Linked DNA regions of Diceros bicornis minor. The protein of the gene in region 2 purifies or fractionates together with the protein of the main gene of each other region. This does not show direct contact. Links are inferred from orthologs where the notes say so. Each region holds a gene or a part of one and is shown on either strand. Other genes may lie near its edges.

Region 1 (7,805 bases), on a different chromosome or scaffold from region 2:
CCTTTAAATACCAACAAAAACAGCATGAGGCTTCAGTGAACTTATAAAGCCCTCCTGTGCCATAAAAGCATCATCCTGGCTCAAAGGACCTCAAGGATCCTCTCTGTAATTTCTTAAATGAAACCTTCTGCGAAATTTTCATGAGATCTGGTTCCTTTTGAAATGTTTCTGGGGCTCCTACTGCCATTTTCCTTTCTGCTCTCAAGACCCGCAACTTTGCTGAAATTGCTCTTCAGACACCAGAGAGGAGAAGGGTCAGCCCCACAGGAAAAAAGCATCATACATATGTGAATAAGGCAAAAGGATTAGGTGGAGCACCTTTAGAAGATAACCACCCACCTTGAGGAGCCGGAAGATCAGCCTCTGGTGCATCTTAGAAAGAACAGGAAATCCCTTCTTATTGGTCAGGAAAATGCTGGTGGGGAGAATGGCTGCTTTGATGGGCTCCCCAAGCCAACGATCGATGACATGATTAGACGGGAGGTCAGCCCCAATTTCAAGAGCTACACAAGGGAAAAGAAAGACCCATCAACCACTGCTAGGCAAGAAGGCTTTCCTTGCTCTTTTGTGCAAGATCTGTTTACTCCTTAAGAGCAAGGCAGACTGAAGCACAGAGAAAGCAGCAAAACTGCCCAGCAGCCAAGTATACATGAAACTCCTGATTCTTATTCACAAGAGGTCAGAGAAGGGATACCCATCCCAAGACCCTCGTGGACTTACCCACTGCAATCCTCTTACTATAGTCACACAAGGTCCGGAAGTTGTGCCACCTGTCCAGAGTTAAATACAGAAAAATACAGTCAAGTATATATGGCCCACCAATCAAGGAGACCTCCCTACAGGTTCTACTGGGTACTTCCCCTCACCCTACCCTTTGCCCTGGTACAGCAGCAAAAGGAGACATACCACATCCATGTCTTCTCCTCTCCACTATACTCCTCCGTGTGTGTAGTGGGTGCATTCTCAATTATATCATCTCTCAGGTCCTCTGGTGCCACCAAGGGTACCCGCATCCAGAACTGCACATGAACAAGTACCCTATTAAGAACTCTATTTTGAACCCATTGGGTCCAGAATGCTTCCTTCAATTAAAAAGATCTTGATCCAGATCTCGAGTTAGTCCCTTTATATGCTTTTCCCAATTTGTGATTATATCTTGTGTATATCCTTATGTAAATATCTGCCTTGTCCTTTATTCCAACTGTAAGTTTCAGGAAATAATTACATATTCTTATATATATAATTTATAACTCTCTGCTTACCACTTTTAGAGGGGGTGCAAGCAGTACTGACATTTCAATTCTGCTAAATGCACCCCTTACTGAATGGCTAAGTAAGCAAGCCATTACTTACTTAGTACTTAGCACAGCCTGACTACCATAATATGCAACAGGAAAAGAGGCCCTCAGCCATACCATGGAGGAGTGGTGGCCAGTGTGGATGTGGTTGGTCAAAACTCTGGCCAGGTTTGTGTTATCTTCCTGATTTAGGGGCAGCAGGAAAGCTGGAAGACCCAAATATGCCCCAAAATTCAGCTCCTGTAACATGGCCTGGAATGAAGATCAAGAGGAAAAGATTAAGAGCTAGCAACTCGAATAGGTTTAATAGTATATCAGATTTAGTAAATTATGGGGGGTAAAAAAACTGCTCTCCCCACCCAGCTTGGTTACAGACCTGATCTTTAAAAAGATCCAGTGGAGAGGTCAAACAGTCTTACCGCCTCTGAGTTCCTGCGAATCTTCTCCACTTTTGAGTCTGGATGAATCCATGGAGAAAGCTTTCCCACAATTAGCGTATTCCAGTCTGCACTCCCCCACCCAAGAAAGACAAAGACTGAATGAGGTTCAGCACTTTACTCCTTCAATTTCTAGTTCTTAACAGGGAATAGAGAGTAGAGATGAGACACAAAGCCTTTTCCTATCACAGATACAGGACAGCCTGATGCAGAATAGGGAACTAAGGCTCTAAGGTAAGCAAGGAGAGAACAAGTCATCTATATCTCAGGGACTAACCAATATAGCCAAGTCAGGAAAGAAGGAGAATGAGGGCACTGATAAAGCAGAAGTTGTTACTGCCTCTATTAATTAAGGGGCATATGGGATGGTCCCTACCCCTTCCTGACAGCAGTAGGTCTGATCGTGTCTGGGGGCCCGGCCGATTCTTAGCAGGTTCCTGAGTGAACTCCCTCTTGAAACGCGGGTGGAAGACAGGCATGCAGAGGAAATCAAACCTACAACCGCGACAGACCCAGAATCGTCATGTAAAGAGAGCAGCAGTGCCCAGAGATGCAAGCAACTGGATTAGGCTACCTCGATCTTCCACAACCCTCTCAGCTGCCATCAGTCCACGCGACCGGACTGCTGAGTTCAGCCCACCTTGGGGCATATCACTTCCGCTGCACTGTGCCTCAATGTGCCCCCAGAACACAGCCATGGGAAAGAGTAAGGAGAAAAAATGAAAATCCACTCCAAGTGGATTTTCTACTCTGCTGTCACTGGTTTCCCAGGACTGTCACATCCAGATCTGCCCACTACTGCCCATGCTTCCCCCTCAAGGTTCATCTCTTCTCGCTAGCTTCCTAACACTCCCATTCTCAGACGATAATCTCGTTCTCCAGGGCCCTGGAGCTCTGAACGCCCCTTTTGAATTTACCTGACAACTCCCCCAACTTTTGACCTCAGTGACCATCTGCCCCCAATAAGTTTTTTTTTTCTCACGCTCCAGGGCCCGAGGCTTCTCCTGCCAAGGAGTCACGATTTCTCCCGCCCTCATCTTATCCACTCCGACCCCCTCACCCCTGCCTCCCGGGGATGACTTGTCTGCCCCTCTCCTTCCCCGAGTTCGGACTCCGCCTTCCGCTTGCGGAGGTCCAGGCCCTCACCCCTGCTTGGCCACAGCCCCCAACGTGTCAGCTATTTCAGGGACGCAATTGAGGTCCCTCCCGCTGGACACGCGGCTCCCACCGGCAGCTCCGACCGCCATTGCCGCCATCTTTCCCCTCGCGCTGTCCACGCCGGGATTCGTCGCTACTGGCAGCCAATCACAAAACCGAAAAAAAGCCCCCAGAAGGCGGGACGAGTCGGCCTAACAACCAGAGCGTCTTCCACGGCTGCGGAGCAGGAGGCGGAGGGGTGGGGAGTGGCTCCTCCCGCCAATCCGCGGGCTGCCGAGCGACGTGCGGCGTGGCTCCGGCAGACCCACCAATCTCAGGGGCTGGTTCTCAACGAACTTCAATCTCCCATAATGCTTCCTGTATTCGTGGAATCCCATTGAGGGACTACACGTCCCATGAAACCCTGCAGTATAAGCTTGAAGTGTCATCATGGGGCAGAACTCCATTGTCTCAGGGCCAGTGGCGCAATGGATAACGCGTCTGACTACGGATCAGAAGATTCCAGGTTCGACTCCTGGCTGGCTCGGTGGGGCTGGTACTTTATTGCGTCTCGCGCAATACGGCCGTAAGCAGCGTCTTTTAAGTCTCCTTTTCTTTCCTTACACTCTTTAAAGTTTCGTCATTTTCTGGTCTTAACTTGATTGAGTTCTGCAACCATCTTATGTCAGCTTTTTCCCTTACCTAAGTCAAAGGTGGTTGTTGTGTCACTAATTAGGTCCATCTGAACACTGAGAAAACTGGGTTAATGGCTGATGCTCTTAAAATGAGCTTTGTCCTCTTAGTATGTTTTTAAATAGATTGTGGCAACCCAGCCACTAATTCCTCGTGATTCTATATCTCAAACACAAAAGGTAAACAGACACCTAAGCGCGCGCGCACACACACACATCTGACGATAGAGAAAACTTCATTGTGAGGGATTATAGTGGGGAGGAGTCATGGAGCTGCCTGGCGGAGGCCTGAGAGAATCTCTACATTTTTCTTTTTCAATAACTGCCAGAGGACAGAGAAGGAGGAAAGAAATGAAGCAAGGAAAGACATAGGGAGCAGAAGGGGAATACCTGACGGCAGGGAGCCCAGAGGTGCTGAGGGCCTGGCAGCGGAATGGAAAGAACACAGTACAAAAGGGCCTAAGCAGGAGGCGTTGACAGAACTTAGGGACTGAGTGGCAGGGAGCCGTGAGAAACAGAAGTCTGAGGGTGATGCCCAGGGTTCTGGCCTCTCGGTGAAGTGAGACCATAACTGAGAGAAGCGGGTTTAGGGAGAATCAGGGTTTGGGTTTGGAAATGCTGAATTGGACGTCTAGGGGGCGCTGTGTAATAGCGAGTTGGATGAACAGTGATCTGAACCAGACAAGATTTGGAAATCTCCAGAAGAGCCGTGGTGAGTGAAGCCATGAGACTGAATGAGATCACCACGGCCCGTCGGGGACAGAGTCCTGGGAAACACGGGAAGGGTGTGGAGAGGGTAAGTTCTAAGGAGCCCTGGGTGTAATGTAAGTGCCCCAAAAGGATGAAAGTCGGAAAGCCAAAGAACTAAGAAAATGCCTATGAAGCTTAAAGGGTTTGGAGGTGCTTTTGTCCCGTCTTAGTCTTCATTTGATTCCTGCAGGTATTATTATTATTATTGCTAGACTTTATTTTTTAAGAATAGTTTAGATTTACAGAAAATTTGAGCAGATAGTACAGTGAGTTCCCACATGCCATCCCACAGCTTTCTCTGTTGTTAACATCTTCCATTACATGGTACATTTATTACAATTCGGGGACCAATATTGACACATTATTATTAACCAAAGTCTGTAGTTTATTCACATTTCCTTAGTTTTTACCTCCTGTCCTCTTTCTGTTCCAAGATCCCATCCAGGATACCATATTACATATAATTGTCATGGCTCCTTAGGTTACTCTTGGCTGTCACAATTTCTCAGATGTTCCTTGTTTTTGATGACCTTGAGAGTTTTGAGGAATACTGGTCAGGTATACTGTAGGATGCCCCTCTATTGGAATTAGTGTGATGGTTTTCTCATGATTAGACTGGGGTTATGGGTTTTGGGGAGGAAGATCACAGAGGTCAAGTGCCATTTTCATTACCCCTTATCAAGAGTACATACTATCAGCATAATTTATGACTGTCAATGTTCACCTTTATCACCTGGCAGAAGAGGTGTTTATCAGGTTTCCCCACTGTAAAATTACACTCCTTCCATCCTGGACTTTTTGGAAGGAAGTCACTGTGTGCATCCCATACTTAAGGAGTGAGGTGTTATGTGTTATGCTCCCCCTCCTTTAGGGCGGAGTGTTTACAACATTTGTTTGGAATTCTTCCTTGCAGGTCTTTTGAGTAGGTGGTTGTCCCAGGAAGTGGGTGAGTGCTCCAGCGACATTTTAAGAGGTAAAAAAGAGTTGTTGAGGGGGCCTGCTTGTTCTCTGCCCTAGCTGTGCCCAACCAAACTCTACATTCACAGAAGACTTATTAGATGTTGTTTCTTCTTCAGAAGTTAATTATCTGGGTTGTGGACCATCTGTGCTCCTGGCATCTTCCTCCCGATGTCAAGCTGGTGGCTGCTCTGTTGATTGTTAACTAACCCATCCAGGGGTGAGAGAGAGAGAGGAAAATTTATGAAACAGTAATGTCAGTTTTGCCATCAGTTAAAATAATTTTCAAAAGGATTTGTGTAAAAAGAGCCTAGAATTTCTCGCTGACCTTAACGTCAGTTTAGATGGGCTGCATTTTTTTTTTTTAAGATTTTATTTATTTATTTTTTCCCCCCAAAGACCCAGTAGATAGTTGTACGTCATAGCTGCACATTCTTCCAGTTGCTGTATGTGGGACGCAGCCTCAGCATGGCCAGAGAAGCGGTGCGTCGGTGCGCGCCCGGGGTTCCGGGCCCCGGGCTGCCAGCAGCAGAGCGCACGCACCCAACTGCTAAGCCACGGGGCTGGCCCAGATGGGCTGCATTTCATTTGTCTGTGATGTCTTTGTTTTTTCATTCAAAATGGCCCCGGCTGTGTGGCTAGCGTGATGCAGAACAGTTCCCAGTAATTCCACACCACATTGCTCCTCGCCTTTCCTACAACTCTTTCCTGCGCCTTAAAAAACAGCGTGTGCTATGGGTCTGCCTGTATGAGCTGTAGAGAAGCAGAAGGGAAGGAATGAAAAAGACATAGAGAACCTTGTGAAAGACTTGGCCCTAGGCGTAGAGTTGGAGTTGGTGAAGTCTGTCTTACGCTCTGCTTCCCCTTGCTCTCCTCTCCATGCTGAACTCTTGTGCGCAGAAGCATGTGAATCACTGTTATCAACCTACATTGGATGTAGGCCTTTGCTGTGATGAAGATAGGGAGATGGTAGGACAGAAGGACAAATACCCTGGGTGAGAAATAATGTTACTTTCTCCAACAGGAGCCAGTGACCAACAGGCCAGAGCATTGGAAACTTTTCTGGAAGGGCAGGAGTACGCACTCCCAGATCCTCCTCCCATCAGCCCACCAGCATTCCTCACCTTCAGGCCCAGTTCTTCTACCTGATTCTGATTTTATGTCCTTGTTTGAACACCTCAGTCCGGTGTAAAGACTGCTTTCATCTTCTCTTGTGCTCCTCTCCTCCCTCGGCGCTTGCCTCCCTCCCCAGGACCACCTTCACTCACCTCTGTTCCTGACCAGCCAGCCGCACTCTTCAACACCAGAATTATGGCCCATTTGACCCTCCTACTGCTCCAAATTGCTTCTTCACAATCAAGGCTGTCCTCCAGCTACAAAAGTGGCAGAGTTACTGAGGCAAAATAATCTGTGCTGATTTGCATTCTCTTCCTTCTCTTCTCTATTATACAGTGTTTATCTGTCAAAATGAATAGAAAGTAGCAACTGTTCTGGAACATAGAAAAAGATGGAAAACTACCCAATTTGTTTATGAAGGCAGAATAAACCTAATATCAAAACCTGTCGGAAATAGCACCTGCCCCAAAAGAAAACTATAGACCAATTTCACTTATGAATATAAATGTAAAAATCCTAAAATATTTAAGGTTAACACATAAAATTCAGCAGTATATTAACATAATAATTATATACCACAACCAGTTAGGGTTTATCCCAGCAATTAACACAAGGTTAGGTATTAGGAAATTTATTTATGTAATACATCAAAAATAAACCAAATAATTGGGGCCAGCCCGGTGGCGTAGTGGTTAAGTTCACATGCTCCACTTTGGTGGCCCAGGGTTCACAGCCTGGATCCTGGGCGTGGACCTACATACTTACATATAAAGTAGAGGAAGATGGGCACGGATGTTAGCCCAGTGCAATCTTTCTCAGCAAAAAGAGGAGGATTGGCAACAGATCTTAGCTGAGGGCTAATCTTCCTCACCAAAAAAAAAACCAAGAACACTTGATCATTTAATAGTCACCAAAGAGAACACAGTAAGTCAATTCCGTTTTCTGTAAACATTCTTAATAGTCTTAATATTCTTCATATATAAACATGTATATGTATATATATGAAGTTAACAATTTATGTAAAGATAAAATAAAACAAGAATGTCTAGTTTCATCACTGTGTTACTTGATATTATTCTGAAAAATCCAATATGATAAGACTGGAAATTTTTAAAAAGGGGTTATAACTTTTGGAAAGAGAGAGGCAAATTTATCATTGTTTGCAGATGATATGATTGTATACATTGAAAATCCATGAGGGGCCAGCCTGGTGGCGCAAGCGGTTAAATGCATGCCTTCCGCCCCAGCAGCCTGGGGTTCGCCGGTTCAGATCCTGGGCGCGCACCAACTCGCTGGTTGGCAAGCCATGCTGTGGCAGCGTCCCATATAAAGTGGAGGAAGATGGGCACAGATGTTAGCCCAGGGCCAGTCTTCCTCAGCAAAAAAAGAGGAGGATTGGCAGATGTTAGCTCAGGGCT
Region 2 (7,115 bases):
ATTCAGCAATATCTGGGCTCTACAGGACAAATATGCCCCAGTTTACACAACAAACAAGAAGAGCATCACAGGGTAACAGCGGAGAAAGCCAGGGATTAGCAGGTAGGTAAACAACATTGGGTTGGCACTTTCACTCTGCACATCCACACGGGTGACCTTACAAAACAAACGTCATCTTTCTGAGCCTCAGTTTCCCCGTCTATAAAGCAGACACAGCCACAGGGAAGTTATGAGGATTAAATGAAAGAAAAATGAACCAACCTGCGCAAGCCTGCCTACTGTGGCGCCTGGGCTGGAAAGATGCATAAATATTAGGTTCATTTTTATTTCCACAAAAGACATGGTCCTAAAGAGCTCTACCCAAATTCCACTTTCAAATATCAAATTCTGTTTTATGAACCCTGGTTTATGAGCAGCTGAGATAACCTCTGACCTATCCCATTAGTAATCCCACCTTTCCAATCCAATGCCATCAAATAAAGGTGTTATTACAGGTGCAACAAGCTTTTCTCTCCTCTTTCATTAATTCCTTAAGTTTAGGGTTTCATCCCTCACATCCCCTTAAAACAGACCGATTTATACCCACATGATATGAAGAATGAGCCCAATCCTGTTATACTCGGGAGCAGGTAAGAGCATCCCAGGACCTGAATCCTCCCACTTGGCCTCAGGCTCAGAAGAGAGAGTAACACTCCAAAGCCATCCTATAGCGTGACACTCTTCTAGTCATTGGTTGGAATCCTCCCTCCCCTCCACTTTTCCACATCAGCTTTTGCTTTCTTGCCTTCTACAGGGTTTTATTTGTTTGTTTTGCCTCTAAGTAGTTTCTTTGCTACAGAAAATCCCTCCCCTTTCCCTCTGATCCTTCCAAGTGGAAGCCTCCAGCAGGTATTTGTTGAATGCCTGGGTTATACTAGGTGGATGCTATGGGTACTAATGCTACCGTGTGGGATGCTGGAGATATAAGATGGGCACTGTACAGTCACAGCACAGGCAGTGTGGACAGGTAGGATGAGCGGTGTGCAGGGAGCAGTGTGCATGTTCTGCTGGGCTGTCGCGGTCTTCACTTTACTCAGGCTCTCGGCTTTGGGATGGGTAAGACTTCACCAGACAGAGAAGGGGCAGGACGAGAGGATGAGGAAGATGCACCCTGATGGAGAGGGCTGCCTTCCTCCTACAGCAAAATGTACCTGTCCTACGCTGGCTTCCTTTGTTTTCCCAGGTGACATTTAGCTCATCTTGCAAGCTCATCTCATTAATGTAATCATAAATGCTACTAAATTCATATGACCCATCATATATAACATGATTGAATTTTAACAATCCAATGCTTTAACCCCAAAGGATGGCTGAATGGTGAGGATTTCAGTCCCTGTTGTAGGGTATTTTGGGAGAGGAAGGCCTTTTGATGTCACACCACGTGGGTGCTTCCTAGGCAGGTCATGAGTGAGGCGGAAATGAGACTGGGACCCTGCTGAGCAGAGGCACAACCCTCAACACTAGATTTCAGGGTGCTTTTTGATCTAGCCGTGGTATTAACTGTCTCAAGAATCTCTTCTTAGTTTTTTTTTTTTTTACTTATTTATTTTTTCCCCCAAAGCCCCAGTACATAGTTGCATGTCATAGCTGCACATGCTTCCAGTTGCTGTATGTGGGACGCGGCCTCAGCATGGCCGGAGAAGCGGCGCGTCGGTGCACTCCCGGGATCCGAACCCGGGACGCCAGCAGCGGAGCGCGCGCACTTAACCGCCAAGCCACGGGGCCGGCCCTCTTCTTAGTTTTGATTATGGTTCAGGGAGAGTTGGAATATTCACCCTCCCCACTCACTGCATTAAACCAGGCGAAGGTTCTATCCCTCAGGTGGCATTATTTTTCTCCAACCACAGGGTGAGTCAGAAGGAAACGTACTCACTCCCATTCATTCTCTTTGCTTAGTATTTCCTGCAAGCAGGTTTCCTTGTGGAACAAACAGCTTCTGTGGGTGTGTGAGGGTCTTTAAAAAGAGAACATGCTGTTCCCATGAGTGGAACGCCTTCTGAAGGAAGCAGCACAGCAAACACGGAGCTCTGGTTCCGGGGCTGAGCAGCAGCTTCTCTCACAGGGGGCAGGAGGCTTAGAGATGGGGCTTGTCTGCAGGAGACACAGTGTCCTGACGTTCAAGCCATCTTCATTTCCGACTGATTGCAGTCATGGTATGGAAGAAAACAGAGTCTTGGGCTCTGGCCTGGGTTCAAGTCCTTCTCAGCCACTGACTGGCCATTTTCTCAACCATAAAGTGGGGATAATTAATCATAGAATTTACCTCATAGTCTTGTGTATAAAATGAGACAACATGCAGAAACTGGAGTGTGGCTAAGTGCCAACAAGTGGTAGCTGTTCACAAGGCCATTTTTGCTGCTGGGTTCCTGTCTTACTATGTGTGGCTTCAGGAGGATGATACGAGTTCTGTGAGCCTCAGTTTCCTCATCTAAAAAGTAGGGTCAATCTTACCTGTGCAAGCACTTAGCTGATTCTCTGGAACGGTGTAGATACTTGATAGACGTCAGTTTTCTTCACCTGCACATCATCTTTGTCTGCCTGTTGGCTCATGACAAATTCCTTCATAATAATTTCCATTCCAGAGGTATCTTGTTAACAAGTAAGTACTACTTGTTATGGGGACTAGGTACTTGGAGAGATACCCAGGAGAGGGAACAGGGAAGCTGAGACTGGCAGAGATAAGCATCTTGTCCTCTACAGTCCTTCACAGCGGTGGATCTGGTCAGCTACACACCCTCTTGTCCAAACTCGCTTCTCTGCCTCATGGATCAGGAAACTGCCTTAACAACTTGAGAGAATCCAGGAGTCTTGGCTTTAATGAAAAATTGGGAGGAGGGGGTAGAGGTTTCTGATAACCATTGTTTATAAAGTTGAGCCTCTCCAGCACCTGTGGACCTCCCTCTTGTAAACCCAGAGAACGCTGGAGTCCCTCCAAGCTATTTTTGGCTAAACCCCAACACCAGAGGCTGGCACTATAAAAGTTTCCCTCCAAATGCCCCTTTGGTCTTCCTCTACCAGAGACCTAGAGTCACAACCACATCAAGAACCATGTCCCTTATGCCATGTGTATGGATAGTTTGATGACGGATTAGGCACAAATGTGGCACAGGGGTCTCACAATTGCCTATGGGACATCTGCTACCTTCCTTTCGATTTTTGCCATCAACGGCTGCTCTAAAGCCCATTGCTTCTTAACGACAGCCATATGGTCCTAATCATCACACTGTGGGCTACTGCGGGGGGCGGGCGGGGGCGGTGATGAGGAGAGCTTGGGGACGCTGCAGAGCCGGGGGAACTGGAACTGCCACTAGGGGGCGCTCCCTGCGGCTTGAGCTCGACCGAGCGCCACCAGGCAAGAGGGGCGCCGCCACCCCGGAGCCGCAGATTTTCCCCCGGGTGCTTCCTGGCAGGAGGTGAGTTTGAGGAGGTTCCTAGGACCTTTGCTCTAACGCGAAAAGGCCCTCCCAGTCAGCCCCTGAGAGCTGAGAACCCACACCCTCCACCTCCAACCTTGGCAGCGTGGCTTTGCGTTTCCAGGGGCACGAGGCTGCGCTGGCTGCTGGGGATTGGGCAAATCCAGATCCTCTCTGGTTTCACCACTCGATTCTTAGAGTCAGACTTGTGTATTTAATGAAGCATCCAGCCCCTCTCAGACCCACGTGGGTCAGGGTCTAGGGATGCGATCCTCGAAGTGTGGTCGCGAGCTCGGCAGCTTCAGTTTCAGCATCACTCCGGACCTGGTCAGAAATGCACATTCTCAGGCACCGCCCTAAACCTAAATCGGAGACGGGGGGCGGGGGAGGGAAGAGATGCCAGCTGTGTTTTGCTACCCCTGAGGTGACTGCGAGGGGCTCGAGGGTGGCAGCCCCTGCCCTGGGGCTTCCGCCTTCGCGCAGGTGAGTGTGGATCGCCAGGCAGGAGTCCAGGTCCTCCGAGATCTCCGTGCCGCTGGCTCGGTGGTCACGTGTGCTCTTGGATTTTTTTTTTTCCCCAGCCCGCCTCCTGGGTCTTTAAAAGGAAGAAGAGGCTCTTCGTTAAGTCGTTTGTGATCTTCGCAGTGTCTCCAGCTGCTGTCCCTGGTGACACCCATTCCCTCGCCCCGGCTGCTAGGACGCTGGCAGGGCTGAGGCTGCGAGAACCGCCTCTGGAAACTTGCAGGGTGGAGAGGACGCGCGGGAACCGGGCAGGAAGGGCCATCCTGGGCTGCGACGGGCATCCCAGTGCTGCGGGCGAAGGCTGGCGATCCGGGTCTGGGCTGCGCGAGGTCCGCGCAGTGTCCGCAGCTGGTGGCCGCGGGCCGGGTGCGGGGAACAGAACTACTCCGGGAAAAGCACATGTGCGCGTTTCAGAGATTGCTAGGCCAGTGTTTACCTGCAAGGTAAGTGCCCCTTTGCTCGAGGTGTGATTTAATTCTCTTGATTTTCTGTTTGAAATCTCCGAGATGATTTTGCTAATATCCATGTCTTTTTAAAAGAAAAAACTCCTCTGGATTTTCTCTGTGGATTTCACGACAATGGGTGAAGTGTGACAGTGGGAAAGTTGGACCAGGCGCTTCAGGCTTGAGTTTTCTGGGCCTGGGAAGATGTATCACAGGCAGGTGACCGGTGTTTTAAAACGTAGTAACTGCCATTCCTAAGTCATATCAAAAAGCAGAATTACTTCTTTCCTGGGCAGACTGAGCAAAATTAAGATCTGGTCTGTTTTATTTGCTGAAGAGAAACACGCCTGCTGCTCTCTTGACCCTTCGTGTTACTTTTCATGCCAATTCATATTGGAAGTATACAATTTAGTGAAGGGAATATTATTTTTGTGAAAAACAAAACTTTGGATTTGAGTGGATTTCTTAGGAAAATAAGGTTGACTCAATTTTACTAGCTTTTTAAAAAGCAACTTTGTGCTTTGGTGTGGTACACAACACTTTGGAGGAAAGCATCTGCCTTATTTTGTTAGATTTCTAGTATTTACATGGGCATTCTGTTAGGAATTTTTACTTTTGTTATAAGTTTCTAAACCCACAGTGGCTATTTTCCTCTGTGTGTGGGGAACTATGTTATTGAAAAAGGGAACATGTGAAAGGAAAGGTTTGTGCTGTGAGTATTGTAAAAAGTAAATGCACTGTGACTATGAAAAAAAATGACTCTTTGACTCATTTTTTCTGTAGAAAATCTATATGTTTCTGCATACGTTTGACAGGAAGGAAAATGTAAGGATCTGTTCATCAATAGGTGTTAAAGCATAAATCTTAGGATTCTATTTTATGTTCAAGCATTTTTTTTCAGTTGAATTAGTGAAACATTCTTGCAGCCAGTCTCCTATAACACTTAAGACCTATAAATCTTCGAAATCAATTAAAAACATATTTAGGACAGATTTCACAGTGGTTCTGAGGGACTCAAATGAATCTAATCACCTTTTACATTTCTCAATTTATTTATAATATGGAATAGGTAAAATTTAGTCAATTCAACTCTTAAAAATATAATTAGCATTTAATAGATATTGATATGTCCATTTTTAAGAATACGACAGTGCAATTTTCTGTGTGTATTCAAAATACATCTTGTAATAGTTTTAGTTCATGTTTTGAGTCATTTTATACAATATCTATAAATAATAAAATATATAAAACACTGAAAGCTGAACTTGAATCATTTACTGGTAGGTTTTTTGATAATTACATTTAGAACCCTTGAGAAATGTATACTTGAATATTAGACTTCATAATTCAGTGCCTAGCACATTGTTCTAGACATAATAGCATTTTTGAAAAGTCAGACTTACTACAGTATAATTTCCATACAGTAAAATCTTGCCTCTTCAGGTGAACCCCTCTATGAATTCCGACAGTTGCACACAGTTTAATAATCACTTCCATCATCAGGACAGAACAGTTCTGTCACTCCCCAAGTCCCCTTTGTGCCTTTGGATTCAACCCTCTCCGTCCACCCCAACCCCTGGAAATCACTGAGCTGTTCACTGATTTTATAGTTTTGCTCCTCAGTATTTTTTTACCTAGAAATAATTATCTTCCTTTGCTCTTCTCAAAAGAAAACCTCGGTTCCTCCTTTTTGATGGAATGAGTCAGGTTGTGGTATTTTTGTTTTAATCCTGTATAATTTGGGGTAAATTAAGGCAAAGAGAAAGCTATTTTGCAAATGGGAAACTAGAGACTGGAATTAAGTGTTAAATTCATATTGGGCTAATAGTTTTAATTCTTAGCAATTTTATATTCCATTCTAGTTTAAGCCTTGGGTTATGATAGGCATCATTAGTTATCCCAAACTGAAATATAAGGTCATTTAAAAATATTCATGTAATATTAATAGAATGTATTGTTCCTTTATAATCTTGGCATTTAAAAAATACTTTTACTATACTTGGGATTAAGAAAGTTTCCTGAAAATTACATATTATCAAATAGTGAGGAGCAAAAGAGTGATTGAAAATTACAATTTGGAGACATTTACAATAAAATATAGAATGATTGTGACTGCTTAAATTAAAATATTCTTCTTAACAGGAGCTAAGTTCTGTGCCCAATTTATTTGTAGATGTCAGGGTTTTTTCATTTCTGTGCTCATGCTTTGGAATCTAGATTTTCTTGCAGAACACAGATGCACAATCTTTTGTAAACTAATGTTCTTTACTGTTTAATACATTGTTCAATTTAGTAAACAGGAGACTGTTATTTTTAGGCACTCCTAATAAAGATATGTCAGATGATGTCTTTTTCCTTTGTGCTGTGAAAAACAAGAACCTATATTTTAAATATGCAACTTACCTTTCAGAGACATGGCAGTTACTAGGCTATGCAGAGTGGCAAGTTTATGAGGCACAAGCAAAGTGCGTAGTTGGCGTTCCTAGCCGGAACTGTTACAGCTCTTCGTAATTAAGGGCTTTTAGCAGGGAATATTTGTGTGGGTGTCCTTGAGTGAGGGTCACTTGGAAAGGCAGACTACTGGACTTGTGTATGTTTCCTCAAAGCAGGACTGCAACCGTTTGTTGGTAAATGTTTTGTGTTCAACTGTCAGACCAAGGACTGGACTGGGAGTTGACTATATTCAGTTTAACTTCTG
Region 3 (7,973 bases), about 4.8 Mb from region 2:
TTATTTTGTGCCCCATATGTCATTAAAAAAGTTTACTTTACCTTTATTATTATATCCCTAGGCTAGTCAAGCAGCAAACCAATAATCGGTCGGAGAAACCTTCATGACATATGCCCGACTGGCTCTTCGCCACCCACTTGAAGGACACTACCCAATCGATGGAAGCCTTTAATCGCACAGCCCTCCCTATAAGCAGACTACTGGCGATGCAGACATGTTCTACTCTCGTGCAGTTACCAAGGACCACTTTACTGCGATCAGGATTCCAACGACCACCTAATTTCGTATCTTTCAACTCTTTTCGACCAGGACCTCTTATTCGGAAGCGTTACAGAAGACAGCTCTCAACTTAGGAATCAGATCACGTTATCAACGCTCTGGGATCGCTGCAACCTGGCACTTCAAGTAAGTGCACCGATTACGTCTAGACCGGCAAACACAGATCTAGAGGTGGCCAATTGATCACTGTAGGAGCTGACTGGCAAAGTCAACCAGGCCCAACCAAGAGTGACCAAGACAACGATTAGGATAACCCACAGGCACTCCTCGTCATAAGGCCAACGACACAGATAGGCTGGCAAATAAAGGGTTTAATATTTGGTTAAAATTGATTTTAAGAAACAAGAAAAAATATCCTCAAAACATTTACATTTGATCACTAATATTAAAATTTGAAATATCCCCCAGTTACGTTTAATTAAAATTTTAAAATTACAATTAAATCCATTAATTTAATTAAATTTAAAACTACTTTTAACAAAACATATTAATAAAAATTAGCTACCCATTAACTTTTAAAAAGCCACATTAAAATAACTCAAAACTGTATTTCAACAAACCTGCCAGCTGACTCTTGAAGATAAATTCTCAACTATAAGGCGATTTTCTGTTCTTACAGGTGGAGCATTTCTGAGGAAGAAAATGAGTACTCACAATGGAAGAAATGCAGTGAGGTGCACTTATTGTGTTCAACTGTGGGCAAGTTCAAGCAATCAGATATGACAAGTCATTCAAATGGCTTCCATCAACAGTTCCTACATTGTTTTTATATGAATCATTATACAGACTTTCAACAGTGGACTACCACAGGAATAACCAAACCGATTACACAGTAAATGCCAGAATCACCTATTACTAATGGTTCTTGAACATTAAATACATCTTCTGCAGCAATGATCATTCAAAGCAGCCATCCATGATCCACCACATACCGTCTATCATTTCGAGGCCTTCGACTACTAAAACGGTCAGAGTAGCGTCCTCTACCTCTTCCACCTCGAGATCGAGCCCTAGCATGTTCAATAGTAACCCTACAGGAAGGAATGAAAAATCTTCATTATCCACTAAGCTATATAAGTGATCTACTTAAGAAAACACCCCCGCTGACCCAGTCTGCTCTATTTCACAGCGCTAACTAGTTATAAAACTAAAAATAAGACTCTCACCTTTCACTGCAAAGTTCTTTTCCATCAAGTTCATACACAGCATCATCCGCGTCCCTGGGATCCTCAAATTCCTAAATAGAAGCATGAAAAAAACACAATGCGTTAACATGGCTATAAAAGTGTATTCTACAACATAATAAGAGAGCTAAAGACATGTGACACAATGGGAGCATCTCTTAATGACAGTGCCATATAGATAAGCCTGATGGAGAAGAGACCAGCAGCGGTTTCCCTCCAGCCAGCAGTGAAGTTCTTTCATCCCCTTGGAAACTTCACCACCTTAAGGATTCACAACGTTTTCTAAAGCTACTCCACCTGGACCCAGTAAGATCCAAAACACTGCTTATCAAAATCTTAACCTATTCCACAATAGATAATCCGGCCAATCTGAACACTTACCACAAAACCAAAGCCTCTTTTCAGATCAATGTCTCTTATCCGTCCATACCCCTTGAAGAATCGTTCCACGTCCTTCTCCCTGGCCGCTGGATTTAGCCTCCCGATGAACACCCGACAGCCACTCATGACGTCCGGCTAGGAGGTCCTGTTCGAAAATAATTCAATTGAGATAATACCAGTGAACATCCGAGGAATCCCTGGTCAAGGGGGTCAAAGACATAAACAGCATAAAATAAAATGTTTACCCGGTGATGTTACAAACAAGATTGCCAAGAGCGCCTCTTATTAGGCCAGGTCCCTTGCAGACAAAATTAAAACTCGGCTCCCAACACGATCCTTCCCTGGGCCCAGACCGCAGCAACCGCAACGCCCACTGCCGCCTCCGGAACTGCGCAGCCGCACACTCTCCCCGGCTCTTCTGGCCCCCTCCCATCTGCCGCAGTTAGGAAAGGCCGAGAAGTGCGGGCGGAGCCGGCCCCGCCCTCCGCCAGGCCAGCCCAATGGCGACGGGCCGCGCGCGCGTCGCCGCCTCCCGGGAGCGTCACAGCGGGGGAAAGCCGGAATCTCGCGACGCCACGGCCGCGCCTGCGCAGACGGCAGCGGGCGGACGCCGGGCAGCCACAAAATGGCGGCGGCGTAGCCAGCGGTGGGGAGAGCCGCGCGTACCGAGCTCCCTTCTCCCTCCCCCTCCCCCGACTCCACGGTTCCGGAGTCCGTGTGCCCACCCGCGGAAAGCCCTAGCCACACCCCGAGCAAAGATCTCGGCCCGCCACTCGGGGGGGTTCGGACAGTGATGAGGTAGAGAGGCAGGGAGGGGCATCCAACCCCTCGGTGTGAAAATGACCATAACCACGACCGCCCTTCCACCTTAGCTTCCCCTCAAACAAGACCCCAAGGGAGACGTGCCCCAGCGCCCACCTCGAGTAAACTGCGCTCATTGGACGCCGTCCTCCGCAAAGAGAGCAGCCCCGGCCACTCGCCATCCGAGCGGCCATGAAGAAGCCTCGATCCGAGAAGCCTTGCCCTCAAAGTGAACCACTCACCTACCGGACAGGATCTTTGGCAGCAGAGACCCAGAGAGGTCCGTAGTCTGCGACGGAGCCGTCTGCCTCCCCGCAGACCAGGACCCAACTCGTCTACGTCTCCCCACAACTGACGCACTTAGCTGCTCGGGCGTTCCACAAAATGGAGGGCGCGCCCCTGCGTCACTTCCGGAACCGCCCCTGGACCTCCCCCCCGGAGCCGGGGACAAAGTTCCCGCGGGGCCCGGGACTCTGGACGGTGACCGCCGAGCCACCCTCACCGCGAGGGGCGGGGCCGGGGGCGGGGCGTGGGCGCGGCCACCAGGTGGCCGGCGCTGAGGGTACAGCTGTTGAAGACGTTCGCCTCTCCTAGGCCGTGAGGTTGGCTTCGTCGTTCTGTCTCGCACAAAATCACCCTAAGACAGATGACACCCCTTTTCCATCTAAATTTTTTTCGAGATACTCCGAGGTGTACTGGTAAAAGAAACTCAGGCTTTGCAAAAATATCTGGCCGTCTCTGACCCCTTGCTGCTTGCAATTTAAGGTTGCGCTTTGGAGGGCGCTCCTTGATGCTCAAGTGACTATTTTAGCCCTACCACGGACGTGTGGTTTAGTTATGGTAAGAAGACTAAGGGACCGCAGTATTTTTTAAATGGAAGGTTTTTGCGTGGTGAAATATTGAAATTGGAACTGCAGCTGGAAGGCCATCTTAAACTGAGGCCAGGACGCAGATTTCTGCATTTCCGCTACTCTAGGACTGCGCTGGCTGGAGGAAGTTTCAAGCTACTTTTAAGTTCAAGTGGTGTTTGGTTAACCCTCCCTGTTCGGGTTTCTGTAACACGTGGAAGTCTACCATTCTCCAGAAACTCTGTGTTTTCAAAGTGGGTATGAAACATAGTCCTCCCCCTCCTTACCTCCGCGTTTTCCCAGTAATGCTGGCAGGCTTAGAAATTTAGGCATAAAGAGACCGATAGTGAAAAGGTGACTTTTCTTGAGTGTTTTTAGGTGGAACCCAAGGCATTCCATTTTTGAGAGGTGCCGGGAATCTAGGGTTGCTGCTTGCCACTGGAGTTACACGGTGATAAAGTAGTTCTACAAAGAGCAGGACTTCCGGACCTTACTCTTATCTGGGGCCGGTAGGAACTCTGGACTAGAACTTGGATGGTTTGTATGGCTGAGCTCGTCCATTCATACATTTTAATGATTAAAAAGTGCTTCAGCGTGTACACAGCACGCTGTGTACTTGTGAACTTTAGCTCCTTATGGTGAGGGAATGAAAGATGGATTTAAAAGAAAATATGTATTAGCTAAATTAAAAGAAAACACTTATCTTTAGCTGCCAGCCTGATCAACATTGGCAATTTATAATACACATATTGTCCCAAGCACCAGTACTTATTTAATTACATTTGTTAGCTTTTTGCATAATTAAAAAAATAGGTCTTCCAGTTAGTTTCTACATTTTGCGTCGACTATGAAGCAACTGCTTGTGGTTACACTCACTAAATGTTATTTTTGCTGCAATAAGAGAAAGTAATCTGGAAAAGGTTTTCTGGGCGTGAGAAACAAGAATGAGGGTGCTGTATGCCATGGAAAAAGCTGCTGTCTTCAGCCCGTGGTGGTGTGGTTTTCTTCAGGACTAATTTTTTTATAAAGCTTTTCCTCTTGATTTATTTACTGTTAAGTCTGTCATTTCCACAAAGGTAATTTTTCATTAGTAGTTCCTTGACTTAGTCTGTGTTTTAAACCACTTGTCTTCTGCAATGTTTGTTTTTTCTATGACAACTGCCTAGTAAATCTCCCTTCCGGATTCTTACCAATTTCTCCAATAAACACAAAGTCATCTTCCATGAGCAGAATTACTCTCCCTCCTGTGTGATCCTACATATTCTGTGTATAATTCCTTCATCACTCACTTGTAATATACATGTGTTATTCATGTTTTTGTTTCCCAGAAATGCCTAGCAGAAAAGACTCAATATTTGTAGACCTGGATTTGCATTAGCATTTGGGGGGGTGGGTTGTACTGTTCCTATATTAATGTTTCAACAAAATGGCTTGGCATCCTTTTCCTAAGACATCTGAATAGCAAATCTTTAGTAAAGGAAAAATGCAGAGAAATCACGGATTAAAATAAACACAAAGTTGATTGGCCATGTCTGTTGGGGACTCTCGGCATAACTGTGGGATGTTTCATTCATCACGTTCCTAATTTCATCTAACTCAGGGGTCAGCAAATTACAGCCTGTGGACTTAATCCAGCCTGCCACCTGTTTTTGTAGGGCCTGAGGATGGTTTCACGTTTTTAATAGGTGCGGGAGGGGAATCAAAAGAAGAGTAATATTTCACGGCGTATGAAAATCATATGAAATTCAAAGCTCAGTATCCATTAAGTTTTTTTGGAACACAGCCACTCCTGATCATTTACTTATTGTCTACCTCGGTTGTCCTGCTACAAAAGCGGGGCTGAATAGTTATGATAGGGACCGTGTGGACCACAATACCTAAACTATCTACCATCTGGCCATTTTCATGACCCCTGAGCTGATTCCTAAACTTTAAACTGCTCTGGGAATGCTCCACCCAACTCCCTTTGTCAGATAATAAAATCAAAGAAGAAGACAAGGATTTGATCTTGATTTTTAAATAGTTTATTTTATTCCAATTATAATAAGAAATATATGCTCGTTATTCCAAAAATGTTCAACAGGAACAATAATTGAAAGAGGAGAACACTCATGATCCATCTCACCAAATCAACCTCTGATTATATTTTGCTGTATTTCGTTCTCATGTTTTTACCCCTGAGAGTTTAATATATGTTTTCCAATTCAAAAGTAATACATCATCATTTTAAAAAATATAGATATGAGAATTTAAAAGGCCATCCTTATCCCTAACCCTGGAGGATAACTATTTGGCTTTTTATATTTCCCTTTAGTGTTTTCCTGTAAGCACAATTGCATTTTCAAAATATGAATCATCCTCATTTATAGAATTTGGCATTATGAGGGTTTTTTATTCATAAAACTTAATCATGGGTATTTTTCCATGTTTCTTTGTTTTAATGTATTTATGATCAAAAGTGTATATCCAGATTTATATTTATTTTTCCACTTAACATGACACAACTACATGCCTGGGGACAATATTCATTCTTACCAGCAATTTTGTTTTTCTGAAACAGTCCGAAATATCACCAGATGCTTAAAAATTCATATCCGAAACTCCCAACACTAAGAAAAAGTGTTGCTCCCTCGCTTCTAGCTAATAACTCTAAAGATTTTTTTGAAAGAGTACCCTTAAGGAATCACTCTTGAAAATTGATGGTTTTTAAAAATGTTCGGTTTTTGTTCAGATTCACCCCTACATACCTCTCTGACTTCTCTCTATTCCAACATCCTGGTGTTTTGTTGTTGTCCTTTAGTCGTGCACAGTAATTAAAGTGCCTGTGGACCCACTTCTTTAATTTGAGTGCCTGGATCAGTTTTTCTCAACACAGCTGTGCTCTGAAATCACCCGGAAGTGTCTGTAACATTCTGCTGCTGGGTCCCTGCTGGCAGACATTCTGATTTCACTGGTGTGGGGTGGAGCCCTATTTGTTAGTAAGGGCTGCAGGTGATTCTAATACTCAGCTGGGAGGATCAGAGGCGTGTTGACCTGGATCTAGGAACTCACTGTTCTGTCCTCCATGAACTCCATCTGTCATCTGGCTCCATCTTCCCTCCCCCAAGGACTCACATCTCACTCAGGTTATGGCTGGAGCCCGGACTGGGACAGTCATGGGGAAGCAGGTTTGGGACACAAACCATTCTAACATCAAGAGAAACTTAAATTCAGGGCGCCTAAGCACATCGTCCCTACCCTCCCCCTTTATACTGACAGCTGCTGTTTCCTGAGCTGTGTTAAGGACATTACACACACTATCTCAGTCAATCCTCATGCCAGCCCTTCCATGTAGGTGTTATTATAACATTTTTTAAATGAGGAAATTTAGGCTTAGAGAATCTAACGATCTGGTCTGCCCAGAACATCCACTTTCTGATTTTCCGATCAATGCCCTTTCACAAAGCTGCAGCATGACCTTCCCGTGATACCTGTCTGTGCACTAGAGTGGCCAGCGAAATCCCAGAAGTGGGAAGCACTTCTACTGAATTTGCAGAGTCCTGACCACCAAGGCCTGGGAAGGTTGGAGTGAAATAGAGCTTAGAAGAGGGGGTCGGCCCCGTGGCTTAGCGGTTAAGTGCGCGCGCTCTGCCACTGGAGGCCCAGGTTCGGATCCCGGGTGCGCACCGTCGGACCACTTGTCCGGCCATGCTGAGGCAGCGTCCCACATACAGCAACTAGTAGGATGTGCAACCATGACATACAACTATCTACTGGAGCTTTGGGGAGAAAAAGGGGGGAAAAAAAAGGAGGAGGATTGGCAATAGATGTTAGCTCAGGGCCGGTCTTCCTCAGCAGAAAAAGAAGAGGATTATCATGGATGTTAGCTCAGGGCTGATCTCCTCACGAAAAAAACAACAAAAGAACTTAGATTAGGCAGAGGATCTCTGATGCGGCCTGAACTGAGGGAGAAACAGTATCTGTAGAGAGAAGCAGCAAAGAAGCTCATCGTAAGGGCTCCTGAGAATATTTTCATAGGCAGGGATAGAAGGTAATATCAATTCAGAATTTGTTGCCAAAACTTAGAAATTCTTTATAGGTCCGCAACATAGCACTTATTTATGTCAGGTTGTGCTATGAATTCATACTCAGCTTAAATTCTAGCTTTAGCTGCTGTTTCTGTCCCACTTTTACGTCTACTCTCTATTATCCTCTAACTCAAAGAATCATTTGGGCACTATTTCAAATGCGGATTCCCAGTGCCATTTTAGCAGAGAGCCTGAGTCAGGAATCGGAGGCTCAGGAATCTGAGTATTTAACTGGAACCTAATCAGGTGGGTCCCAACTATAGTTGGCAACCTCTAATCAGCCCTGTATTGTTAGGTTCATTATCTCAGCAGCCATTCTGTGCTTTCAGCTCTTCTCAAGCGACAATGACATACCATGGTGTGTTAGTTTCCTTGGGCTGTCATCACAAAGTATCAAAAACTGGGTGGGTTAA
Region 4 (7,646 bases), on a different chromosome or scaffold from region 2:
CAAGAAGACAGAGTGAGGCAGGAGATCAAGATAAAGACGGGAGGTTAGTGGAAAGAAAAGGAGCAAGAAAGAGAGGTGAATATACAAGAGAGAGAAAGGATAATAGGCAGAAGGGCATAAAGGGTGGGATTTACCTTTGATAGAGAGCCACAAGGAAACTGATTCAAAAGGGTGCAGACAGATCTAGGTTTGTAGGTTTGAGTGTGAAAAAAGAAAGAGCTCATGCCCATTTGCATCTATCTCCTCTGTGACGAGGAAAATGAGGGGTCAGTTGGAGGACAAAGATTTGAGGAGTGTGGAAAAGGTTTGAAATAGTCACTGATGTGAACGGGACAAGGGTGACCACACTGCCACAGAAGGGGTGTCAAGCAGAGTTAATGGTGGCTTACTAACAACAAGCCTGTATGGCTACTCAGCTGGGACAGTCACATCACTAGTAAATCATGCAGCTGAAACTCAAGCATAGGTCTTAGAACTCTACAATCTCTATTTTTGCCCCCTTCTACAACTCTAAGATGATTAATTTTTTTTTGAATTGTGGAAAAAAACACATAACAGAATTTGCCATCTTAAACAACTTTAAGTGTGTAGTTCAGTAGTGTTAAGTGCATTCACATTGTTGTACTATAGATCTCCAGAACTTTTTCATCTTGCAAAAATGAATCTTTGTACCCCTTAAACAACAACTCCCCCTCCCCGCAGCCCCTGGAACCAACATTCTTTGTTTCTGAGTTTGAAGACTTTCTACACCTCACATAAGTGGAATCACACAGTATTTGTCTTTTTTTTTTGGTGAGGAAGATTGGCCATGAGCTAACATCCATTGTCAATCTTCCTCTTTTTGCTGAGGAAGATTGGCCCTGAGCTAACATTTGTGCCCATCTTCTTCTATTTTGTATGTGGGACGCCACCACAGCATGGCTTGATGAGCGGTGCATAGGTCCCCGCCTGGGATCCGAACCCGTGAACCCCAGGGCCACCAAAGCGGAGCGCACAAACCTAACCACTATGCCACTGGGCCAGCCCCACACAGTATTTGTCTTTTTGTGACTAGCTTACTTCATTTAGCAGAATGTCCTCAAGGTTCATCCATCTTGTGGCATGTGTCAGAATTTCCTTTTTAAGGCTAAATAAGACTCCATTGTATGTATATACTACATTTTGTTTATCCATTCATCCTTCTATGGACATTTGGGCTGCTTCTCTAAAATGTTTAACTTTTTAAAAAAAATATTCTCCTGACTGAGCTTTTAAAAACGTTTCTTTTCTGATGCCAATTAAACACTCCTGCCACAAGGCCTTATTATACAATGTATACTCTTTGCAGCTGCTGGCAACTCCTTTTCCTTTTTCCTTCAACCATTTATGTTTAATTATGGTAACTGGTAGGAGTATTACTAAAGAAACATACATAACCACACATATAACATGCAAGCCTTGCTTTTAAGTTTATATCTGGGTGGAAAGGCAAGACAGCAATATGAAGGAAGTAACTTCATTACTAACATTCAGATATATGAATTTTTGATGTAATAAAATGAATTAGGTTGTGCTTAAGTAGTAGCATGTAGTAGTTTAAGCACCTAACACTGGCTTAGAATCTAGCTGTATAACCTTGGGGAAGTTACTTAAACACTCTAAGCTTCTATTTCCAAATCTGTAAAATGAGGTATTTAACAGCAGCTATCACACAGGTATATGTACAACACTTAGTCCAGCGTCTGGGACACAGCAGGTGTTCAATAAACATAATCCATCATTATAAAATAATTTATCATAGTATTTCTAAAATGGTTTGATTTGCAAAATTCAGATTTAGACAACTTTTCAAGAATATCAGTCCTGTGCAAAGTATAACAAACCAGAACCAAGGGGGAAAAAAAAAGACTGCACAATTAGAGACAGAAAGAAAAGGTGTCCAGGAAAGACTCCTCTTGAATGAAATTCTCTACAAGCATTTACCATACAGACATACTCTTAAGTGGCCCATGAAGCTATGTGCGTTTCAATGCAGGCACTGACATTCTGAGCAGGAAATTATTCGTTTTCAGGACCGCTCCGCCCCAGGAAGGGCTTTTGGCATCCTTGCCCCGCCCACGAGGCGCCAGCAGCGGATCCTAGGAATTGTGACAATCAAAATGCACCCACTCTTAAAACGCCCCTGGGGGGCGGTGCCAACCCAAATTGAGAATTACCAAAAGAGGACCCATCCCAAATCTTCCAAGTTCCTTTACTACATTCTAGATTCTACTCCGCCGCGAAGATCTACTGTTCCAAAGGTCCAGGAGCATCCAGAGACGGGCCACACCCGCAGAGGTCGGAGTCATTTGCTGTACCCATGGCACCTCCTTCCCGGGCCCCTTCCGGATTGCGGGCTTCATAATCCTCGCTTCCTGCAGGACCCCCCAATCTCCATGAGGGGCCCCGGTGCTTGCTTTGAGGTGCGAGTTTTCAGCCTGCGCTCGTGGCTGAAAATACATGGGGTCCTCCGGCCTTACTGCCGGAGTCTTGCATATTCAGGCGAAATCCAGGCCACAAACACATCACGAGGAGTGGAAGGGACCAGGCTCAGCGCTGGCCTGCGAGAGACTGCCCGGTTGCAATGGACCAAGCCTCCTTGCTTGGACCCTCAAAGCCAACTCGAGGACTAGAGCCGCAGCGCCGACGCGCGCCATTCAAACTGGGGAGGGGCGGGACTCGAGGCCCAGAGCTCGGGAAAAGCGGGACCAAGCACAAGTGGGGGCCTGGACTCCGAGCAACCTGACAGCCTGGTCTCTCACTGAAGAACTGATCATCGCTCGGCCCCAGAGTTTCCCTTCTGCCCCGGCCGCACTTACCCGAATTTACCGCCAACAGCGTCGCCATCTTGGAGGCGCACTAACGGAGTCCTCCTGCCGCACGGAGGCCCCAGAAAAGGGTGAGGCTGCCCGGAGCGACGCCTGAACAGAAAGGTACCATGCTGTCCCCTCCGAACGGCACGCTCGGCCGACCTCGCCGTACAAAGACTCGAAAGTCTGCTCTAGGTCACACACGTCAGTTTTCTCCGGGATTATTCCCATTCAAATAAGGCGAGGACAACCAGTTCGGAGAGGCGAGGTCCTCGATTTGACGTTAATTGTGCAGTGCATCCTGGAACTTGTAGTTTCTTTCTAATGATGAATGAAGTTGGTTAGGTGGAAAAGATATTCTGAGACTAGTTATTGAAATGACGCCCATTTATGATATTATAAAAGCCGTAAGATCAAATCATTATCTCCATTTGAAATTAAATCTTCCTTGCATTACTCTTTTACTTTGGGGAGTGGAGTAGGGTGAGGGGGGCTTACACCTCAAAAAGCCATTTGATCGGTTACAAAGTTTTCATTACATTTAAATATACCAAGTGTTTTGCGTTAACATAGAGTTGCATAGAGTGAAACAAATCATAACTTTTTATTATGAAATTTTCACATGAATGCAAAATTAGAATAATTCCTGTCCCCCACTTCCAACACAGGAGATTATTTTGAAGAAATTCCCAGATATATCATTTCATAAACACCAAATATTTTTCTACCTAAGTGCCCCCCAAACAGCTGGACCTTCTTTTTTCACTCGCTAAATATTGGTTTGCTAAATTTCAAACTAAAATACAAATAGTCATTACCATTTACTATTATATGTCAGATATTTACTAAGAATTTTACATTATTTTACGTTATCTTATTTAATCCCTGAGACAATCCTATTAGGAAGATTATAGCTACTATAGCTATATTATAATTATATATATGTAATATATAATTATAGCTACTTATCTCAGAGATGGTCAATGTGCCTTACAATCTCACTTCATCAACTCCTCCAACATTCCATTGAGGTTGGGAGGAAACAGAGCTAGCTTATATTCTCATTTCACTATTGGACATCAGAATTAAATAATTTAGCTAAAATCCCAGAGCATGTTGTTAAGAATATCAAGCATATTCCTTCTTTTGAACAAATAATATTGAGTGACACAATGTACATTAGGTGAAACAAAAGTCACTGATTTTTTTTGCAAGTCATTGTTATATAGAGACAAATGCCAGACTACGATGAAAGCACTTTTAAGGAGTGAAGGGGAAAAATGAGTTTCCCCAAAGTTTAGCATGAAAGTGAGAAGAATATAGAGCAGAAACTTGGCAGGAAGTGGCATTCAAAGAAGATTTTCTTTCTTAGCACAACTATTACAAGCCTCCTCCCTGCCCCTCAACACTCTTCAAGCCCACACACTTCCCTCTTGGTAGATCACTTCGCTTTCTATGAAGGAACTCTTTAACTTCCTGCAACTCCCCCTCACCCATCATCACACTTACAAGCAATCTCTCACAGGTTTCCTCAATTCAAAGCAGTCAGAGTATTGGCATCATAACTCCTCCAAAACTGCTCTCAGTATGGTCACCAATGATCAACTGTCAAATCCCATAAGCACTTTCCTGAATTTCTTTAAACTCTTTTCTCGCTTGACTTCTGGGGCACCACGCCTCCTGGTTTTCCTCCAATCTTTCTAATTCTTCTTTTTAAGTTTCCTACATGGACTTTTCTTCCTCTTCTCATCACTAAATGTAGCTCTTTCAGTCATCCCCAGCCTCTGTTCTTTTTATTCTATTTGCTTCTGGGAAATCTATGGCTTCTTACTACCACCTGTTTGCTGATGAATTCTATATTTGTATCTCCAGTCTGGTCCTCTCTCCTGGGCTTCAGATTTGTATATCCAACTTGTCTACCCCACATCTCTGTTGATTGTCACACAGGCAGCTCAAAATCAGTCAATTAGTACAAAACTTAAAAGAGCATTTTCGTCTTGAAACTCTGCCACCTATATCCACTGGGTTGCCAAAGTTAGAAACCTGGGAGTCATTCTATATTCTTCCTTCGATTGCCAAATCCTATTCATTCTAACTCATAAATATTTCTGGAACCCTTTTTCTCTTCTCTGCTCCCTATGCCATTGTTCTCTTCAGGTCTTATCTTTTTATACTTGGCATTTTGCAATCACCTTCTCACCAGTCTTCCTGATTTCCATCTCATCCCCCTTTCATGGACTCCCAAAGTGATTTTCAAATACACAAATCAGATCATGTGCTTGCCTTGATCAAAATTTCTCAATGACCTACTCCCCAAAGGCAATATTTGAAAACTTTTTAGCAAGGCACACGTGCCACTTCCTGATCTGGTTCAGCCTTCTTCAACCTCCTCACCCTCGGTCTTCCTCAAGTGCCCTTTACTCTAACCATTCTGAACTATTTATTATTCCCCAAGTACACGACGCTTTCTTGTACCACATATTGATGCCTTTGCACCTGCTGTTCTACCTGCCTAGAATGCCCTTCCTTCCCTTCCCCATCCCTCTGTGGACCACCCACCACGTTAACCTCCCAAACACAACCTGTCTTCCAAGTCTGAGGGTCTGTGTTAATGCTGCTTGCCTGATGCTATCCTTGATTCCCTCAACCAATTCAGAGGTTTCTTTCCCTACATCCCTATCGCACTGTAACCCATCTCTATTATAGCCCTATGTTCTATGACAATCATCCCCCACTAAAACTACTAGCTTCTTGTGGTAGATTGTTATTAAAAAGCCCCTAATGAATCACACATCCCTGAATTCAGGCCATTGTATAACCATCTGCCATCTTGAATCTGAGTGGGCCTTATGACTTGCTTGGGCCAAAAAAAATGCAGCAGAAGTGACATTGGGTGAGTTCCAAGCCTAGAATTTGCCCTTGCTGCTTCCTCTCTTGCTCTTTTGCTGCCCTGAAACACCATTTAAGGAAACTCGAGCTAGCATCTTTTAGGATGAGAGACCACGGGAGAAGCCTAACCAGCTTCCAGCTGTTCCAGCTCTCCCAGCTAAGATGCCAGACATGAGTAAGGCCATCTTGGATCCTTCAGTCCTAACTGAACCATCAGCTGACTGCAAATGGGTGAGTCTAGCCCTGTTTGCAGAATTGTGAGCAAGTAAATGGCTATTGTTTGTAGCCATAGTTTTGTGGTTTGTTATGTTCAATAAACAAATAATTTAGTCCTGTAGAGCAACAACTATGCCTTTATATTTGTATTCCCTGCTCCTGCCACATCTCTGGCTTGCAGTTACAATTCAGAAAAAACAGTTTGCAGAGCTTGGTGCTTCCACGATCTACTGGAAGAGAGAGAGGCCACATACAATTGTGGTTAAGAGCACACACCCTTGAGCCAGGCTTCCTGGGTTCAAATTCTGTTTCCATCACTTATTAGGTGTGAAACCCTCCTCAATGGCTCAGTTTTCTCATCTCTAAATGGAGATGATAATATTAGTACCTATATTGTAGAGTTGTTAAGAGGCTTATTTGTAAAGTGCTTAGAATGTGCCAGACACGTAGTGCTATATGAGTGTTTGTTAATAAAAATAAACTATTTCTAAGGCAAAATAAGTGCTAAATGGAGGTACAGTTGATTACTAAGGACGAGTTCAACCAAGCTGTTGAGTGCACTGCAAGTAGAAGCATTCAGCAATGAAACAATGTGTGATTTACCTGGGGTAAGGGGTTGGACTGCACCCTAGTCTAATTGATCCATTATTGTAACTTCCTTCATTGCCCCAATTAATTGAGTTTTAACTGTCTACACAAAGTTCTTTGAGATATTAAAATAAGGACAGTTAATTCTTATTTGGAGTTTGGGAAATGAAAATTAGGGAAAATTATATGAAGGCAGTGGCACTTGAATGGACAGATGATAGGAATTTACATGGTCTTAAAAGTGTATGGGGGTGGGGCATAGACGAACAGATCAGTGAAAAAAGTGAGAAAATCCAAGGTTTCGGATTTAGAGAGCTGCAGCAACTCCTCTGGACAAGGCTTAGAAATTTAGATGAGTTTCAAGTTCTGTGATTTTCCACATCCTGGCCAGTGGAAGACCCCAGGCATGACAGGTTCACCAACTTGTGTTGACCCCAGTCAGTGGCCAGCTATGGGTTTGCAGTTGCAGAACCACTGGTCTTGGAATACTGGCAGTATCTGGTGGAGTTGGAAATAAATTCGCCCTAGATTTTCCCCTAGAGACCCACAACCACAATGCACCTTCACAGACTGGATTATTCCAACAGCCTCCTAACTGGTCTTCCTGTCTCCAGTCTCGCTCATTTCCAGTTCACCATCTGCACTGTAACCAGAGGGATCACTTAGTCCTCTCCCTAAAACCCTTCTGGTTCTTGTCACTATCCTGAGGGGAAGTCCACACTTCTTAGAATGGCACACAAGGCTGTTCATGATCCGGCTCCTTCAGGCCTCTTAAATTTGATCTCACATCTAGACTCTTCTTTAGTAACTACTGCAGCGACCTAGACACACATTCTTAGACCCTCCAGCTCCCCAAGACCCTTTACCAGTGCCACCCCCTTCTTCATGGGATAGTCCCTCTGGCTACATCTTCCTTCCCTCTGAATCTTTGTTGGCACTCTCTTCTCTTTCTGGAATACCTGTAGCCTCTTCCTCTGCTTATTTGTCTCAGGAATCCCCACCCCACTCTTACCTCTTATCTCAGGGAGGATTAAATGCCCTCCTGTCCTCTCCTACGTTGTATTAGAATTTTCCAAAATTTTGTCTGTCTGTCCCTCTGGACTGAAAGCTCCACAGAGAAGAGTA

The links.
Region 1: the proteins of ESR2 (region 2) and PRMT5 purify together in Homo sapiens (affinity purification with mass spectrometry; 3 studies listed by BioGRID and IntAct, with this or other methods). This does not show direct contact. The link is inferred for Diceros bicornis minor from reciprocal best matches to the Homo sapiens genes ESR2 and PRMT5.
Region 3: the proteins of ESR2 (region 2) and SRSF5 purify together in Homo sapiens (affinity purification with mass spectrometry; 3 studies listed by BioGRID and IntAct, with this or other methods). This does not show direct contact. The link is inferred for Diceros bicornis minor from reciprocal best matches to the Homo sapiens genes ESR2 and SRSF5.
Region 4: the proteins of ESR2 (region 2) and NUP205 purify together in Homo sapiens (affinity purification with mass spectrometry; 3 studies listed by BioGRID and IntAct, with this or other methods). This does not show direct contact. The link is inferred for Diceros bicornis minor from reciprocal best matches to the Homo sapiens genes ESR2 and NUP205.

The regions. Positions count from the first base shown.
Region 1 is NC_080744.1:24,804,199-24,812,003, reverse strand, and holds the start of PRMT5 (protein arginine N-methyltransferase 5), read right to left. Parts: upstream 3,015-7,805; 5' UTR 2,992-3,014; coding exon 2,882-2,991; intron 2,231-2,881; coding exon 2,112-2,230; intron 1,804-2,111; coding exon 1,718-1,803; intron 1,551-1,717; coding exon 1,416-1,550; intron 1,020-1,415; coding exon 907-1,019; intron 771-906; coding exon 721-770; intron 504-720; coding exon 340-503; intron 1-339. UniProt on the Homo sapiens protein: Arginine methyltransferase that can both catalyze the formation of omega-N monomethylarginine (MMA) and symmetrical dimethylarginine (sDMA), with a preference for the formation of MMA.
Region 2 is NC_080763.1:13,372,569-13,379,683, reverse strand, and holds the start of ESR2 (estrogen receptor beta), read left to right. Parts: upstream 1-4,100; 5' UTR 4,101-4,417; intron 4,418-7,115.
Region 3 is NC_080763.1:18,188,759-18,196,731, reverse strand, and holds the start of SRSF5 (serine/arginine-rich splicing factor 5), read right to left. Parts: upstream 3,007-7,973; 5' UTR 2,888-3,006; intron 2,882-2,887; exon of another isoform or gene 2,763-2,881; intron 2,143-2,762; 5' UTR 2,090-2,142; intron 1,990-2,089; 5' UTR 1,971-1,989; coding exon 1,845-1,970; intron 1,517-1,844; coding exon 1,446-1,516; intron 1,311-1,445; coding exon 1,212-1,310; intron 910-1,211; coding exon 840-909; intron 1-839. UniProt on the Homo sapiens protein: Plays a role in constitutive splicing and can modulate the selection of alternative splice sites.
Region 4 is NC_080742.1:84,080,761-84,088,406, reverse strand, and holds the start of NUP205 (nuclear pore complex protein Nup205), read right to left. Parts: upstream 3,005-7,646; 5' UTR 2,866-3,004; coding exon 2,838-2,865; intron 1-2,837. UniProt on the Homo sapiens protein: Plays a role in the nuclear pore complex (NPC) assembly and/or maintenance. May anchor NUP62 and other nucleoporins, but not NUP153 and TPR, to the NPC.